2 linked regions of the Stegostoma tigrinum genome follow. The protein of the gene in region 2 purifies or fractionates together with the protein of the main gene of each other region. This does not show direct contact. Links are inferred from orthologs where the notes say so. Each region holds a gene or a part of one and is shown on either strand. Other genes may lie near its edges.

The links.
Region 1: the proteins of PH domain leucine-rich repeat-containing protein phosphatase 2-like (region 2) and Na(+)/H(+) exchange regulatory cofactor NHE-RF1-like purify together in Homo sapiens (co-immunoprecipitation; 3 studies listed by BioGRID and IntAct, with this or other methods). This does not show direct contact. The link is inferred for Stegostoma tigrinum from reciprocal best matches to the Homo sapiens genes PHLPP2 and NHERF1.

The regions. Positions count from the first base shown.
Region 1 is NC_081375.1:37,094,829-37,103,055, reverse strand, and holds the start of Na(+)/H(+) exchange regulatory cofactor NHE-RF1-like, read right to left. Parts: upstream 3,497-8,227; 5' UTR 3,338-3,496; coding exon 2,900-3,337; intron 1-2,899. UniProt on the Homo sapiens protein: Scaffold protein that connects plasma membrane proteins with members of the ezrin/moesin/radixin family and thereby helps to link them to the actin cytoskeleton and to regulate their surface expression. Necessary for recycling of internalized ADRB2.
Region 2 is NC_081369.1:35,900,872-35,908,614, forward strand, and holds the start of PH domain leucine-rich repeat-containing protein phosphatase 2-like, read right to left. Parts: upstream 3,054-7,743; 5' UTR 2,879-3,053; coding exon 2,687-2,878; intron 1-2,686. UniProt on the Homo sapiens protein: Protein phosphatase involved in regulation of Akt and PKC signaling.

The sequences.
Region 1 (8,227 bases), on a different chromosome or scaffold from region 2:
AAAAATTAGGCGGTGCTTGGAGATCATTTTGATCAATGCTAGATACTCTGTCACTGTTTAACACTTAAGAACAAGACAGGTGGGAATAGGTCCATCAGTCTAACAGCCTAACACTGGAGGTGAGAGCAATTTGATATAAATTAATAGTAAAGCAGCACCTCACACTAGTACAGTGGTTTTCAGTTTTGATCTATAATGTATTGGTATTTATACTTTCATGATATAATTGTTAAAGTGAGAGTCATATTTTTTCAGTAAGTGAATGACCTGCTATGCAAACTCAGTGTCACAGTTGATATTTGTTTCCTACCCAGGAAAGGAAGTGCTAAAGCCTTGCATTCAAGTCTGACAACCGAATGAAACGGGCCATTTACAAGAACACAAGCTCATGAATTTTATATGCAGGTTTGAATGCCAAACCAGAATTTCACAGCTGCAACCCTTTCACTGCAATAAGTAGGCTCCTCCTCTCAAAAAGGAGAAAGTGGCCTCATTCAACTCGCTGATAATAAAATGAGAGGCTGGATGAACACAGCAGGCCAAGCCGCATCTCAGGAGCACAAAAGCTGACGTTTCGGGCCTAGACCCTTCATGACGTCAGCTTTTGTGCTCCTGAGATGCTGCTTGGCCTGCTGTGTTCATCCAGCCTCACATTTTATTATCTTGGAATTCTCCAGCATCTGCAGTTCCCATTATCTCTCATTCAACTCGCCGTCAAGATAAGCAGCTACAGCATCTGAGGCAGGGGTGGATGGGGGAAAACATACAAAGTGCAGAGATTTTAAATTCAAGGTGGCATTCACACCACCATGTCTGTGCTGGCTGAGAAACCATGTAAATTGATCTCACTTTCTAGGTTTTGGTTCTTGATTTTTTTTGGTTATGACACCTCAAGTGGAAAGAATAAAAATTTAGTACTTGTTAAAGTGATAAGGATTTCTGCCTTTACAGCCCTTTTGGGCAAACAGTCCCAGGCTCCCACCATCCTCTGGGCAAAAATGATAACTCATCACTCATCCTTCTACTAAATATTTGAAATGTGGGCCTCCTATTCTTGGTCTCTTGAAGAGAAATAAGGCCTTCTGATCCCACCACTATCTAAGCTCCTCAATTTTATACCAGTTAATTAAACATCCCTTCAGACAGCATTATTTCAAAAAACAAACCTTCAGCTAAAGCAATTCTTCCTTGTAGTTAAATGCCTGCATTTTCCTCTTTAACCTCTAGTTTATTCTCACTCTTCCTGCAAGACAATGGCCAGACTATCTGCAGTACTGAAACTGTGGCCTTACTAGTGCTTTAAACAGCTTTAGCATAACCTCCCTGCTTTTACAGACTCGACCTCAGTTAATAAAGTAACATGCAAGGCTTCTGAAGGAAAAAAAAGTTTTAAATTGTTCGCAGTCTTCATTTGTTTGATCAGAAAACCTTCTGGATCCCAACCAGGCTCGAAATCTTCAAGAGTGAAAAACCTATTCTATGTAATCTTGCACAAATAAGAGATGCCTTTGGTTTGTTTGTTGGATAGAGTCAAACGCCAAACTGGGTCTGTTTCAGTGACATGAAACTGTACATAACATTTTGTTATAAATAAAGTATAATTTTGAAATAAACTCAGCAGGCCTGGCACATCTGTGGAGAGAAATCAGAGTTAACATTTCAGGTCCAGTGACTCTTTCTCAGAACACAGATAGGTTCTAATGAAGATGCACTAAACTCAAAATGTTAACTCTGTTCTCTCCCCACAGAAGTTGCCAAACTTGCTGACTGTCCTCAGCAATTTATGTTTTTGTTTCAGATCTCCAGCATCCACAGTTCTTTGTTTTATTTTAGTTTATCTTACAACCTCCAGTCTCCAGAGGGCAATCCACAAACTTTCGGTAACAACTTTCAAGCGACTGGTGCAAAAAAAAATCTTTTCCCCTCATCTTTAGATCAGAAAAGGATTGCAAGACATGGAGTTTCAGTCCCCTAACAAGATCCAGTGGGAATTACCTACTGACAAATCTAACAGTATAGGACCAGCTTTAGTCGGGCTAATTAGGTTTTCAGTTATTTCACCACACAACCATCCAATGAGCAGCTTCAGCTCTTACTGCTCAGACTCTGACCTCAATACCTGAACTGTGATCGTCACAATAAATGCTGACTGAACTTGCAAGTTTGCAAGTATAAAAGAAATTGCTGCTCATACGTGCTGAAATGCAGAGTTATTGACCCTTGTCTCCTGTGCCACAGGAGGACGGGAAACCTGAAATCAACACCCTTTCAATCCAGATCACAGTACAACAACAGATTTCACCAAAGTTTCTTCCAGTACCAAGGACAGTCTGTTCTACACTAGACTGTTCAGTGGCATCCTGTGAAAACTCTCCCCAGTCTTTAGATGTTTTCTACTGTCAGCTCATTCATCCTGTTGTGGGTAGAGCCAAATTCTATAGGGTTGTTCACTTAGGAAAGTAAGTTTAGCATCAGATTTAGACCCTGGACTTACTGCCTTAGAAAAACCGAGTCTCAGGTGAGGACCAGAGCTGACCCCTCAGCTAGTACAACGCTTCAGCACAGCTCACTGGTGTTACACACACTGGCGGCTACTGGTATTCTTATTCCTAAATCCTTTAACTTTAGTTCATAAACTACTACAGATGAATTGCTGAGAGAATCTCCTCAGGGAAGGACGACAGCGGCGGCCTTCCTCTCCAGACGCTGCGCATTCCCATCACCGAGGGACCCGCATTCCGGCCGTCCCGACCCCAGTGCTCCCGTCCCTCTCGTGCCTATCCCACACCTTCTGTGGCAGAAAGTGACCCCCTCCATCCCGGGTAATGTCCGCCACTTCCCGTTACCCTATAACGTTCCCCGTTCTCAGAGAGGTGCGCCCTCTGGCCAGCCTCCTCACCTTCTCGCTGCTGCTCTGAGACACAGTGTCTGCCGCTTTGGTCTCGGCTGCCGGGCTTTTCTCTTCGGGCTCCTCCTGCTGCTCCTGAACCGATTCCGTGGGGTCGGGGATGCCGTTGATGTATTCCTCCTTGCACACTAGCCCCCGGGCCCTCAGCAGCTCGTCCGTCTCCCTGTCCACCACCAGCAACCGGGTTTGCTCAGCCACCGCCTTGATCTTCTGGACCACTTGCTGGTGGCTGTCCTGCTCCACATTGTCCCCGTTCACCTGAACCACTTTGTCGCCGGCCCGCAGCCCCGCTCGCTCAGCTGGAGAGGCCGCTTCCACCAGGCGGATGAACTGGCCGGTCTTGCCCTTCTCCCCATGCAGGTGGAAGCCGTATCCACTCGGGCCTTTCTCGATGACACAGAGCCTGGGCCGGAGTTGCTCCTTGGTCATGATGGGGATACCCCTCAACCAGTCACTTACTCAGGGACACTATATTAAAGCGTCACTCTGGGATACTCTGTATCCAACTGAGACTCGAAGCTATTCTCTCTGCGCGCGATTCACAAACCATCAGCACAACCAGGGACGGCCTTTCCTTGATTGACAGTTCGTCTCTCCAATCACTAACAGCGCGTCTTCATCCTCAGCCAATCGACACCCTCCTCCGCAAGGGCCCCCCCTTATTAATATTTATTCCACGTTGCCTTCAAATTTGCATTCTCACTGACGTGACCAAGCAGGAGTTTAACATCTATATCAGTTAATGCAAAGTCTGCAAAACTTTGCAGAGAAATGACGAATTCGATGCCGCGAACACTTTTCAAAATGCCATGGCGTAACCTGTAAAGAAGGCTGCAATACGAACTTTAAGAATACTTGCAAACCCCGCCACGGTCGCCGGGCAACTTGTTGATTGACAAGTCTGAGTGAAGCTGGAAGCGGTAGAACTGTAAATTTAGAAAACTTGCAGGTAAACAGTGAAACAGCAACAGTGTATCCTCTAGTTCACACTACATACTCAACTATAGAACAATGTAATATTGGCACACGCAAGAACAAATCTTAGTAAAATATATACGATAAAATTTAGGGTTTTTTAAACATTCCCTCCATTAGTGCTGCCAGTGCTGTCTCCTGCTGGTTAAAGAATGCATTTTGCAGAATTTACAAGATTTTCTTTTGAGGATGTAGATGGTTTCAGGAAAGTCAAGGTTGTTTTTGTCATTTTACTGAAAACCATTAACAAGATTTTTAACATACGAATATGTACTTTGTGGAAATGCTGTTCCTGTGGAAAACAAAGAAGAAAGGAAGAAAGAGACTTAAATAATCACTGACACTGCAAAGAAAGAGCGAACAAAACTAACAATTTTTGTGAAACTGATGGCCTCGGCCTTGGATGCTTAAAACAATATTTGTTGCAGATGTACTGGGTGTATTGTTTGTATTTCTGAAAAATTTCCTAGATTTTGGATAGAATGGAGCAATCAGAAATTAGAAATATAATAATGAATGTAGTCAGCATAGATTTCAAAAATGAAAATCCAGCTGGATCTTAGAATTTTACAGGATAGAAGGTGGCCGTTTGGCCCATAGACTGTGTATGGTGGCTCCCAGAAGAGCTACCCAGTCAATCCCATTGTATCGAATGCATTGATTTGATTTGATTTATTGTCACACGTACGTAAAACAAATGTTAAGTGTTCAGAGATAGTAAGAACTGCTGATGCTGGAGCCAGAGATAAGCGTGGAGCTGGAGGAACATAGCCGGCCTTTTCTGAAGTTGACTTGTAACGTCAACTTTCCTGTTCCTCTGATGCTGCTTGGCCTGCTGTGTTCTTCCACACTGTTATCAGTTGAAAGTGTTGTTGTGTTGCAACTTTCCAGTGCCATCTTAAATCACAGAAAATAAACCAAAACACAGAATATAAAGCCAGAAAAATAGAACAATCAAGTTCATCTTATAGTCTTATTTCAATACAGTGAGCTTGTCTTTGGAATAGCTCCCACATCTAGCTCAGCCAAATCAGGGGCCTGGATCAGAGCCCCTGAACCCTAACATCTTGAATCCCTGCTACTAAACCGACTACACGGCTGCAACTGTGCATCATCTCGGAAGAACTGATGAACATACTAATTTTTTCAGGAGGGAACACAGCAGAAAACGTGGTAGATGAAATTTATCTTAATTTTCAAAAGGCTTTTAGCAAGGTGCCCCAGAGTAGATCAATAAATAAGGTCAAAGACGAGTGGCAGATGGCTTTGCGACAGAAAACAGAGCGTGGGAGTAAAGATTGGTTACTTAGAGCAGCAGACGTGGTGAGTAGTGTTCTACTTGGATCAGAACTTAGGTATTCTACAACAAGTAACACCTCCCAACTCCACATAGTCTGTCCACCATCTACAAAGCACAGGTCCGGAGTGTGATGGAATAATTCTTAGTTGCTTGGACAAATGCAACTCCAGCACTCTCAAAAAGCTTGACCCCAAAAGGGGAGGTGATGGCCTCGTGGTATTATTGCTAGACTACTAATCCTGAAACTCAGCAAATGTTCTGGGTACCTAGGTTCGAATGGGGGAATCTGAATTCCATAAAAAAGTCTGGAACTAAGTATCTAATGATGACCATGAAGCCACTGACAATTGTTGGGAAAACTGATTTGGTTCACTGTTGTCCTTAAGGAAGGAAACTGCCGCCCTTACCTGCTATGGCCAACATGTGACTTCAGACCTGCAGCAATGTGGTTTGACTGTCAACTGCTCTCTGAAATGGTCTAGCAAACCACTCAGTTGTTTCAATTTCTTCAAAGTCTCAACAAAGGAATGAAACTGGATGGACCACCTGGCATCAACGTTGGTACCAAAATGACAATGGCCAAAAAGGCACTGATGATACTCTATGGTCCTTCTTACCAATATTTGGGGCCGAGTGTCAAAATTGGGAGAGTTGTCTTACAGACTAGTTAAGCAACAGCCAAACATAGAAATACTGGCGGCATCATACCTTACAATGTACCAGACACCTCCATCACCATCCAGGATATGTCCTGTCATGCCATATGACAGACACAACAGAGGCAGTGACACAGTGGTCTACATTTGGGATGAAGTTGCCCTCAACATTGACTCTGGAATCCATGAAGTTTTGGTAGATTGAGCACCTAAAATACAGTGATTGGTCAGGAACAGCAGGGTGTGACTGCAAGTGAGGCAGGTAAAATAATCCCGTACTCAGGAACTGAGGAGACTCAGCTCTTGAACCTGTCCAAAAGATACAAGGTATTTGCTCCCTGAGGACCAGAGCTGTAAGGAGGATGAGCCACTGACCACAGCACTGTGGTACATTGGGCCATTCAAGAGGAGGGAGCAAAAAGACAAGTGGTAGTTGTAGGGCATTGTATACTTAGGGGAATAGAAAGCATCCTCTGTAAGCAGGGTCGAGAGTTCCGCATGCTATGTTGGCTGCCCAATGCCAGGGTGAAGGATATCTCTGACCAGCTTGAAAGGATATTGGAGAGAGAGGGAGAGGATCCCGTTGTTGTGGTGTATGTTGGGACAAACAACATAGGCAAGACTAGGAAAGAAGGACCTGTTTTGGGGTTTATCAGGAAATAAGAACTAAATTTAAGAAAAGCTCCATAAGGGTTATAATCTCCATTTCACTACCTGAGCCATGTGCAAAATGGCATAGGGAGGCAAGAACAAGGTAAGTAAACATGTGGCTAAAAGAATGGTGTGGGAGAGAGGGGTTCCTTTTCATGGGGCATTGGCATGAGTACTGGAACAGGAGGGATCTGTACTGTTGGGATGGTCTCATGGGATGATCGAGCTGGGACCAATGTTCTAGCGAAAAGTGTAAATAGGCTGGTCAAAAGGACTTTAAACTAGAAAATGGGGGGCGGGGGGAGAAAGGGTAAAACATAAGGAAGTGTAATGGCCGATAGGAAACAAGGCAGCAGGTTAACATCTGTGTACGGTGGATTCAAATGCATGGAAAAGTATGAAAAACACTGAAAAGGGAAGGGAAGTCAGGAGAAGTTATTAAATCCTTCCAAACACAAAAGGAGACAGCATTTGGAAAGGGTTAGGAATCAAACTTCAAGCACACCGGATAAAGGGATGACAATGAAGAGAGGGATAGTAAATACAGGACTGAAGGCATTGTATCTGAATGCATGCAGACTATGAAATAAGGTAAATGAGCTTGTGGCACCGATCAAAAATGGCAGGTACGATGTGGTGGGCATCAGGACTCAACAGCTAAACATCCAAGGATATACATCCTATTGAAAAGACAGGAAGGTGGACAGAGGGGTTGTGATTACCTTATTAGTAAGGAACGTAATTACATCAATAGCAAGAAACGATGTACAGTCAGATGATGTAGCATCTTTGTGGGTAGAGATGAGGAACCACAAAGGTAAAACAAAACATAATGGGAGTTATGTACAGGCCTCCAAACAGTAGTCAGGATGTAGGGTAGAAAATACACCAGGAGATAGAAAAGGCATATAAGAACGGCAAGGTTACGGTGATAAAAACCGAAATTGCTGGAAAAGCTCAGCAGGTCCAGCAGCATCTATGAAGAAAAATCAGAGTTGATGTTTCAGGTCCAGTGACCCTTCCTCAGATCAGGGTCGGGTCTGGTTACCTTTCCTTAGATCAGGGTTCTGAGGAAGGATCACCAGACCCGAAATGTTACCTCTATTTTTCTTCACAAATGCTGTCAGACCTGCTGAGCTTTTCCAGCAACTTCTGTTTTTGTTCCTGATTTACAGCATCTGCAGTTGTTTCAGTTTTTATTAAGGTTACAGTGATCCAGGGGAATTTCAATATGCAGATGGAATGGGAAAATCAGGTTGGCAGAGGGTCACCAAGAAAAGGAATTTGAGTAAAGTCTACAAGATGGATTTTGGGAGCAGCTTATGGTGGACCTCACTAGGGAACAGACAATTTTGGATTTAGGGATATGCAATGAGGCTGACGTGATAAGGGAGCTTAAGGTGAAGGAACCCTTAGGAGACAGTGACTCTTAATATGATAGAAACTACTCTGCAATTTGAGAGGGAGCAGCTGGAATCAGAAATAACGGTATTACAGTTGAATAAAGACAACTACAGAGGCATGAGGGAGGGGCTGACTAGAATTGACTGGGAGAGAAGCCTAGCAGGAAAGACAGTGAAACAGCAATGCCAGGAATTTCAGGGAGTAGTTCAGTAAACACAGCAAAAACTCATCCCTAGGAAATAGAAGCATACCAAAGGAAGAATGAGGTAACTATGACTGACAAGGGAAGTCAGGGGCAGCATGAAAGCAAGAGAGAAAGCATATAATGCAGCA
Region 2 (7,743 bases):
ATATTATTTACTTGAATGAATTAGCAATGAGAGGGGTGAGCTTTTAGTGATTTTGGCAGGCTCAAAAGAAGTACATAAATCTTCAGGTCCAGATGTGAAGTATGGCAGACTGCTGTGGGAGCCAGGGGAGGAGATTGCATACACTTTGAATTAATTTTCAAATCCATTCTGGATACAGGAATAATGTCAGGAGACCAGAGGACAACTAATGTGATACCACGATTCAAGGGAGGTAAAACATCTGTGGTCGGGGAATATTTGGAAAACATTCTCAAGGACAGAATTAATCTCCACTTGGACAGGCAAGGGTTACTCACGGACAATCAACATGGTTTTGTAAATGGAAGATCATGTTCAGAAATTTGACTGAATAGAGGAATTGACTAGGCGTGCAGATAAGGGTAGTGAGCAGTTGATCTGGTCAAAGCCTAACTGAAGTTGATGGAGACAAGGTCTTGCATGGCAGACTGGTTAAGAAGCTAAGAGCTTGTGGGTTCGAGAGCAGTTGGAAAATTGGATCCAAAATTGACAGTAGCTGGAAGCAAAGCGTGGTAGTCAAAGGCTGTTTTTGTGACCAGAAGACTCTGTCCTGTGGTGTGCCACAGAGTTGAAACGCTGGGTCCCTTGGTGTTTGTTGTGTATGTTAAAGATCTAGACATGAAGATAAGAGACATGATCAGTTAGTTTGCCGATGATACAAAAAAAATTGACAGTTTGGTAAAGTACAAGAAGGAAAGCTTTAGAACTGGCTTGTCAGATGGGCTGAATAGTAGCAAACTGAATTCATCCTTTAAAGTGTGAAGGGATGCATCCTAGCAAAATCTAATTAACAAGGGAATACACATTGAATTGCAAGAGCCTAGGAAATACAGAAAATGTCAGTGTCCTTGGTGTGCATGTCAAGAGATCCCTGAAGGCAGCAAAAGCAGATGATCACATGGCATATAGGATACTTAACTTTATTACTCAAGGTATTGATTACAAGACCATAAGATATAGCATGCAAAATTAACCCATTTGGCTAACTGAGTTTGCTCCACCATTCAATCGTGGCTATTATGCTTCTCAGTCCTATTCTCTTGCCTTCTCCAAGTTGGGCCATGGCCGGAGTACTGCATGCAGTTCTAGTTGCGATACTATAGGCAGGATATGATTGCACTAGTGTGCAAAAACAATTCAGCTATGAATAGGTTGTGTTGTTTTCTTTAGAGTAAAAAGGCACTTGGGGGAAGGTGGGTGGCGAGGAAATCTATTGAGGTATATAAAGTTCTGACGGGCATGTACTCTGTAGACAACAAAACAACCTTCCCAAAAGTAGAGTGATCAATAACCGGGGGTTGCAGTTTTAAGAGACAGTAGGAACTGCAGATGCTGGATAATCCGAGATAACCAAGTGTGCAGCTGGATGAACAGAGCAGGCCAAACAGCATCACAGGAGGGTCTAGGACTGAAACGTCAGCTTTTCTGCTCCTAAGGCGGTGCAGTCTTAAGGCAAGGAGCAGGAGGTTTAAAAGGGAATGTGAGGAAAAAGAAATTCACCCTAGGCCCGAAACATCAGCCTTCCTGCTCCTCTGATGCTGCCTGGCCTGCTGTGTTCATCCAGCTCTCCACCTTGTTATCTCTTTCACCCAGACGGTAGTGGGTGTCAACAGCTCCTTGTCTAAAAAGGTGTAGAAGTAAGAACCCTCAACACATTTTAGTAGTATTTAGATGAGCACATGAAACACCACAAAGGCTACAGATCAAATATTGGAAAATAGGATTAGAATAAATGGATGTTCAGTGATTGACATGGACACAAAGGGCCTATTTCTTTGCTGTAAACAAACTGAGTCTAAATTCGTCCACCACTGACTACGGTGAGAACAAGAAACCCACCAGTATGCCAAGTCACAGGAATGCCAAAAAGAACAGAACGTGCACCGAATGTGACTCGCCACTTTCATTTTTGCTATCTCATTTTAGAAGGCCATCACCTAAAGGACCCCTCCTTCCCTGTACATGAAGCACTTTAACAAAATATGAAAATATTTTAACGGTACAGAGCTATGAATAAAATATTTTTAATTCATCTGCAACACCTATAACTTGACACTTTCTGTTTCTAATGATCTGGGCGTTGGTAGTTCCTACAGGTTTTCACTGTTCAGCAAGATATTAGAGGAACATAAGGACGGTGCAACTCCTAACAGGAAAAAAAAGGACGCATTTTACAACTGTTCACCTTCAGGTCATTTTACTGCAACCGATTTTTATCATGTAGACTTGCACACTAGATGAATAAATATAGAGACTGGCTTTGAAAATACTGCAATATGCAATTTTCAAAAATATACACATTTAGTGTATCTGTATTTCCCATATTAGGACAATCATTAACAGTTAAAGGTAGCGTGACATAAAAAAACTGCGTTTATCTTGCACAGAGCCAGGGAAAAGCTGATCACCTGGAATCCGCTGCGTTGAAACCGCAACGTTTTAATGTGGGCAAATATTTGTAAAAATACTAATCCAAGCAAATACTAATAAAAATACTAATCCAAGCAAATCAGCCACATTTGATAACTTTTCATTTGAACATCTGAAATGGAAGACGGGACATCTCTTGAAATAAATCAAAAATTGAGGCTATTATTACCTACATTCTTCAGAGGTCAATTAACACGAGCCAGACTGTGAACGTTACCTTTAAGACGCGCACTCCCCTCCCTGCAACCGCCGAACTCGAGCCGCATCCGGGGCCAGGCTTCGGCTGTGGAGAGAGCGGTTCTACTGTCAGAGCGGCGACGGGGCCCGGGCTGCTGCCTTCGCCCAACAACCCCGCTGCACATGGAATCCGCTTCCCCACCTCCATCACCGGCGATGTTACCTCAGCCATTGTGGTTACACCCGCATCGAGACCAAAATAATTGCAAGAAAGAACAGGAATGTCGAACGATCGAAAGGGTCAACGCTTGCAGGATGAACCCTGCGCACTCACTGCTCTCCCGTCGCCATGATGACAACGCTCGCTCTGTCGGAGAGAGGCCGCCGCCGCCACGCTCGAGCGGGGGTATGTGCTCATCTGCATATCATACATTATTCATAAGACTGTGCGTCATTTGCATAGTAACGATTGGTGTTATCCAAGAAATAGGCCAACTGCGTCACCCATTCTACAAAGTCACAATGGCAGGCTCTAATGGCATAATGTTAGTGTCCCTCCCTTTGAAACAGGAGGGCCCGGGTTGAAGTCCTCGCTGCTCCAGAGACGTATCGTAACATCCCAGCTCCTTTGAGTAACAAAATATCTACCATACCTTGAACTTAGAAATACAAAATCTTAAGGACTGCAGTGGAAATGTTCCTACCCCCAACCAGAAGGCCTCGATTCAAATACCACTAGTCTTATCATAAAACGTCCCAACAGGTTGACTAAAAATACATTTACAGGAACGGGATAATAACTATCTACATTGTTTATTACAGTGTTATTCAAAATATACAATCCAGCTAAACAGACTCTTGCTAAAGGAAACCTCTGTTAGAAGTATACCAGAAACTTTAGTGTCCATTTTTGAATAGTTGTGTTTTAAATGTGAAACAATTTTTTGCTAACTGGTTTTCAGATGTCAATTGTTACAATTCCACTAACATTAAAAAAAATCTAATTCTGGTCAATTGCTTTCAAATAACTTTAGAAGCAGCAGCACTTGCCTTTTGCCTGCTTCCAGATCCAAAGTTTGTGTTTTCCTTGCTTCATGTATCCTCCATTGCAACCTCAAGTCAGATGGGTTTATTTCACCCACCCCTGTTGGAGGCTGAAAAGAACATCCTGGAAATGCCAGTTCTGCACTTAATAAAACAATCAGCACCATCACATCCACAAGAGCAAAACCAATTTATCTGTGTGGAGCACCAGCTCAGCTCCCATTCCACAGAACATTCTCCCAAGACAAGCTGAAATAAAGGCTATCTTGCATAACCTGATCAAAGCCAGCTCCTCCTGCCAATCTCCAAATGGCCCACCCAAAGTAACTGCACCCAAAGCAGCCACAGCTCAAAATCTAATACAGGCTGAAGCTGCAGCCGCCCAGGTAAGATGGAGGCGCTCTGAAAACCACGAATCCCATCACAATTTAATACAATTTTAAGTAAAAGGATGCAGATGATATTGTGCTTTATTTGTAAATGCTAGAACAGCATTAAACAAGGAAGAGATAGTAGGAACTGCTGATGCTGGAGAGTCTGACAGAACAAGGTGCAGGGATGGATGGACACAGCAGGCAAAGCAGCATCAAAGAAGCAGGAAAACTGAAGTTTCGGGTCTGGACCCTTCTTCAGAAACCTTTCTGAAGAAGGGTCCAGACCCGAAACGCCAGCTTTCCTGCTCCTCGGATGGCGCCTGGCCTGCTGTTTTCACCTAGCTCTACACCTTGTTATTCTCATTAATCAAGGAATGTGGTTTTTCTGTTGGTTGTAACAATTACACAGTCAATTTTACCTACAGTCCCAGCCTTCAAATTTGTTTGCTCATTTGTTTACTATCAACACTAACAGCATTTCAGCATGCCTTGGATTTTGCAGTAATGATGACAACAAACTTGTCATCACTCCATTGAAACTGACAGCAGCTTTCCTAGAGTCCACATATGTTTTTTACGGCTAAGTTTTACTGTTTAAGATCAAGACTGAAGTGCAATTCACAGCACATGGGTGAGGTGATTCTTGCCTTACGGCTGTGTATGTTTTCTCATTGTACCTTGCCAAAGTCACTGCTTTCACACACAGTGAATATCACACCCTATTTCTGCCTTATCTTACCAGGCACTGTTCCCAAAGAACATGCTACTCAGCAGGGGTCCTCCATATAACCAGCATCTCCTGGACCTGTGTTATCTTTCAAAGCACAGTGTATCTGCAGAAGTGCTAACATTGTGCTGCCTGGCCATGTTAGGTATCAGGAGAGATAGCAGAGAAGAGGAAACTAGAACTATACTTCCGGGAAAGGGTCTTTGAAGTCCTTGTGGATGGTATTGTGGAGAGGAGAGGAGTCAGAGATCGCCGCCTGGGTCGGTACCATCTCCAGGGTGAGGAAGGAGGTCAGTAGTCTTCTTTGTTTCATCAGAGTAACTGCAGTACTCTGCTGTGGCACAGGTAAGTGTGAGGTAGCAGACAGCATCCACCTCCCACCAATGGTTATGATCTGACACCCACTCTAGTGCATGAAACACCTTCCCTCACTCATTCCCCCCCTCACTCCACTTACACTTTCTTAGTCATTCTGTCAGACCACTTCGACACCTGCATCCCACATCCACCAACACTAATGGACATACCATCCACTTGTGTCTTACTCATTTATCCCCTTCATATAATTACAGGAGAAGACATCCTGTAACAGGACAGAGACTGATGCCTCACCACCTGCAAGGAAAGGATGCTTCCCTGGCAGGAAAAAACAGGGACCGGTCTAGCAAAGAAGAGGAGCCATCCATGTCCTGCCACCCCAGTTAGTAACAGTTGGTCATTTCACTTGTATTAACAAAGTACTGAACACCACTACTAGCCAGTGGCTGTAATGCCCTCTGCCCTTTGTCTTTCAGGTGGATCCATTCTCTCAGGAGGAGAGTTCCTTGATCCCTCCTGCTATTATCATAGAGGACAATTGGAGGAACCATGATTTGCATTGCCTGCTGGACCACTCAGAAGCATGGATGCAATATATCATTGGACACTGACCCAGTGAAGTTCATACCCCAGCATCTCCACACATGGAGAAGGGAGAAACACTCCAGGCCACTTGCAGTCAGAGGACTGTCATTGATCAGGCACCTGTTAAACCCCTAGCAGATGACCTGATGTTGTCAGCTATGAGGGATGTTGTGCAGATGTACAGGAGCAGCAGCAGGTAGGCATTTAGAAGTCACAGGCCCTCATTGCTGAGAAGTTGGAAGAAAGCAACCACACAGTGTAAATTCACAGCCTGTTATCTCCCAGACTGCAGCTAGTCCATTGATTCAGCCTGTTATCCTGCAGATTGTGTAGTCAGCCCCTATAAATTGGCTCTCTCTCTCTGCCTGGACAGTTTGATAGCTGCCATGGAGGACAAGCACAGGAGCCTTGGAGTTGTTCAGAGCCACCAATTCCTAGATCAATGTGTGTCTAACTCAGCCAGGTCCAAACATCCCTGAGGCCACTTCACCAAACACCCAGAGCCAACAGGCTTCAGCTAGCAAGGGAAACGTACAAATGTCTTGTATGGGCAATGCCTGCCCAACCTGCATATAATTTATTGATGATTATACCAAAGCAAATAGCTTGTTTACCACACTATTATGTTAATGGTTTATTTACAAAATGCTTTCCTGTTTAAATTTTTTTTTCCCCACAACCAATGGTATGGAAATAGTTTTAACATTACATAACATCTTGCATTTCAGCTTTCCTGATATTGAAACTGTCTCTGTTTCAGCTGAAGATGACGTGTAGTTCCTTGTGGCATCAATCCATAGCCATTGACTTCATGGAATATTTGAAAAGGTCTGTGATGACCAACAAATACATCATGTAGATGCTGGGATAGCAGCACACGTACATAGCATATGCTCATTGCAACAAGCTGGGTGTTACATCCCTCCCCATCACCCACTGTTCAGTTGTGCACAGGGATATGTATCACAAGAAGTTCCCCAACAGTGATAGTAATGGAGTGATTCAACAGAGATAGTCAGTGCCTACCACTAGTCATCCTGCAGCAATGTGTATGCCTGTATGACTAACAAATCATCTGAGAACAATATTACTCCTGCAATAGTTAAGTGAATAATTGGAGATGCAGCCCCATCCCTCACAATTCACCTCACTTACACTCTTCTTTCTAGCCCTTTTCTTCCACTATCCACAAGTTTCATCAATGGCAAAACACAGTGAGTAGTCCTCTGAGGCTTTCAGTCTCAGCATTAACATGCCACAGAGACCCCTAATATGACCCTGTCCTCCTCAGGTGACCATTCCATTGATCCAGTCAGCCTCATAGTGCCCCAGACCATCCCCTTGCAGCGGATATGTGACTAAAACTGCACACTTTCTAAGTACCATCCATATCACCCCTCCCCCTGACCCTGACCCTGACCCTTACTCCCTTAATTTCTGCTAATAGAGGTGACAGATAATCATGGCTCAGCCCCTTGGTTGACTTCTCCTTCTGGCACTAGCCTAGGCTAGCCCACTATGCTCAGACCCTTGGCTGACAGATGCATGTCCCTGACCATGACAGTACCACCCCACTCCCTCTATAAAGACTGGCCCCTATAATGACAGCAACTGGCCGACTGAAGTAAGGCAAGATGTACATGCCCTTAACTAAGAACTGCTGCACAGTATAGCCACTTGCCTGGTTGTCTGTATGCTAAACGTTAATGCAAGGCAAGCTATACATGCAGAGGGCCTGAAGTACACTAAGAGATCAAGAGTGTACTCCTGGTAGACAGCCAGGTTAAAAACCATGGAATGTGTTCTTTCCCTGTGCAATACCTGTATCCCACATAGCCATATAGTACCGTCCTAGACCACTGTGCCCTTGCAGCACTTGGTGCCAGTGCACTGGGGGCATGACAGGATTCTCGCAATACCTCCCTGATAGTGGAGCGGCAATATCCAGAGGTGGAAGAGTAGGCATTGGCTGTGGCGGTGCAATGGGCCCTGTTCTCCAGCTTGCTTGTGGCAAATGTGGATCTCCTGGAACAAGCAGAAGGTGGACCT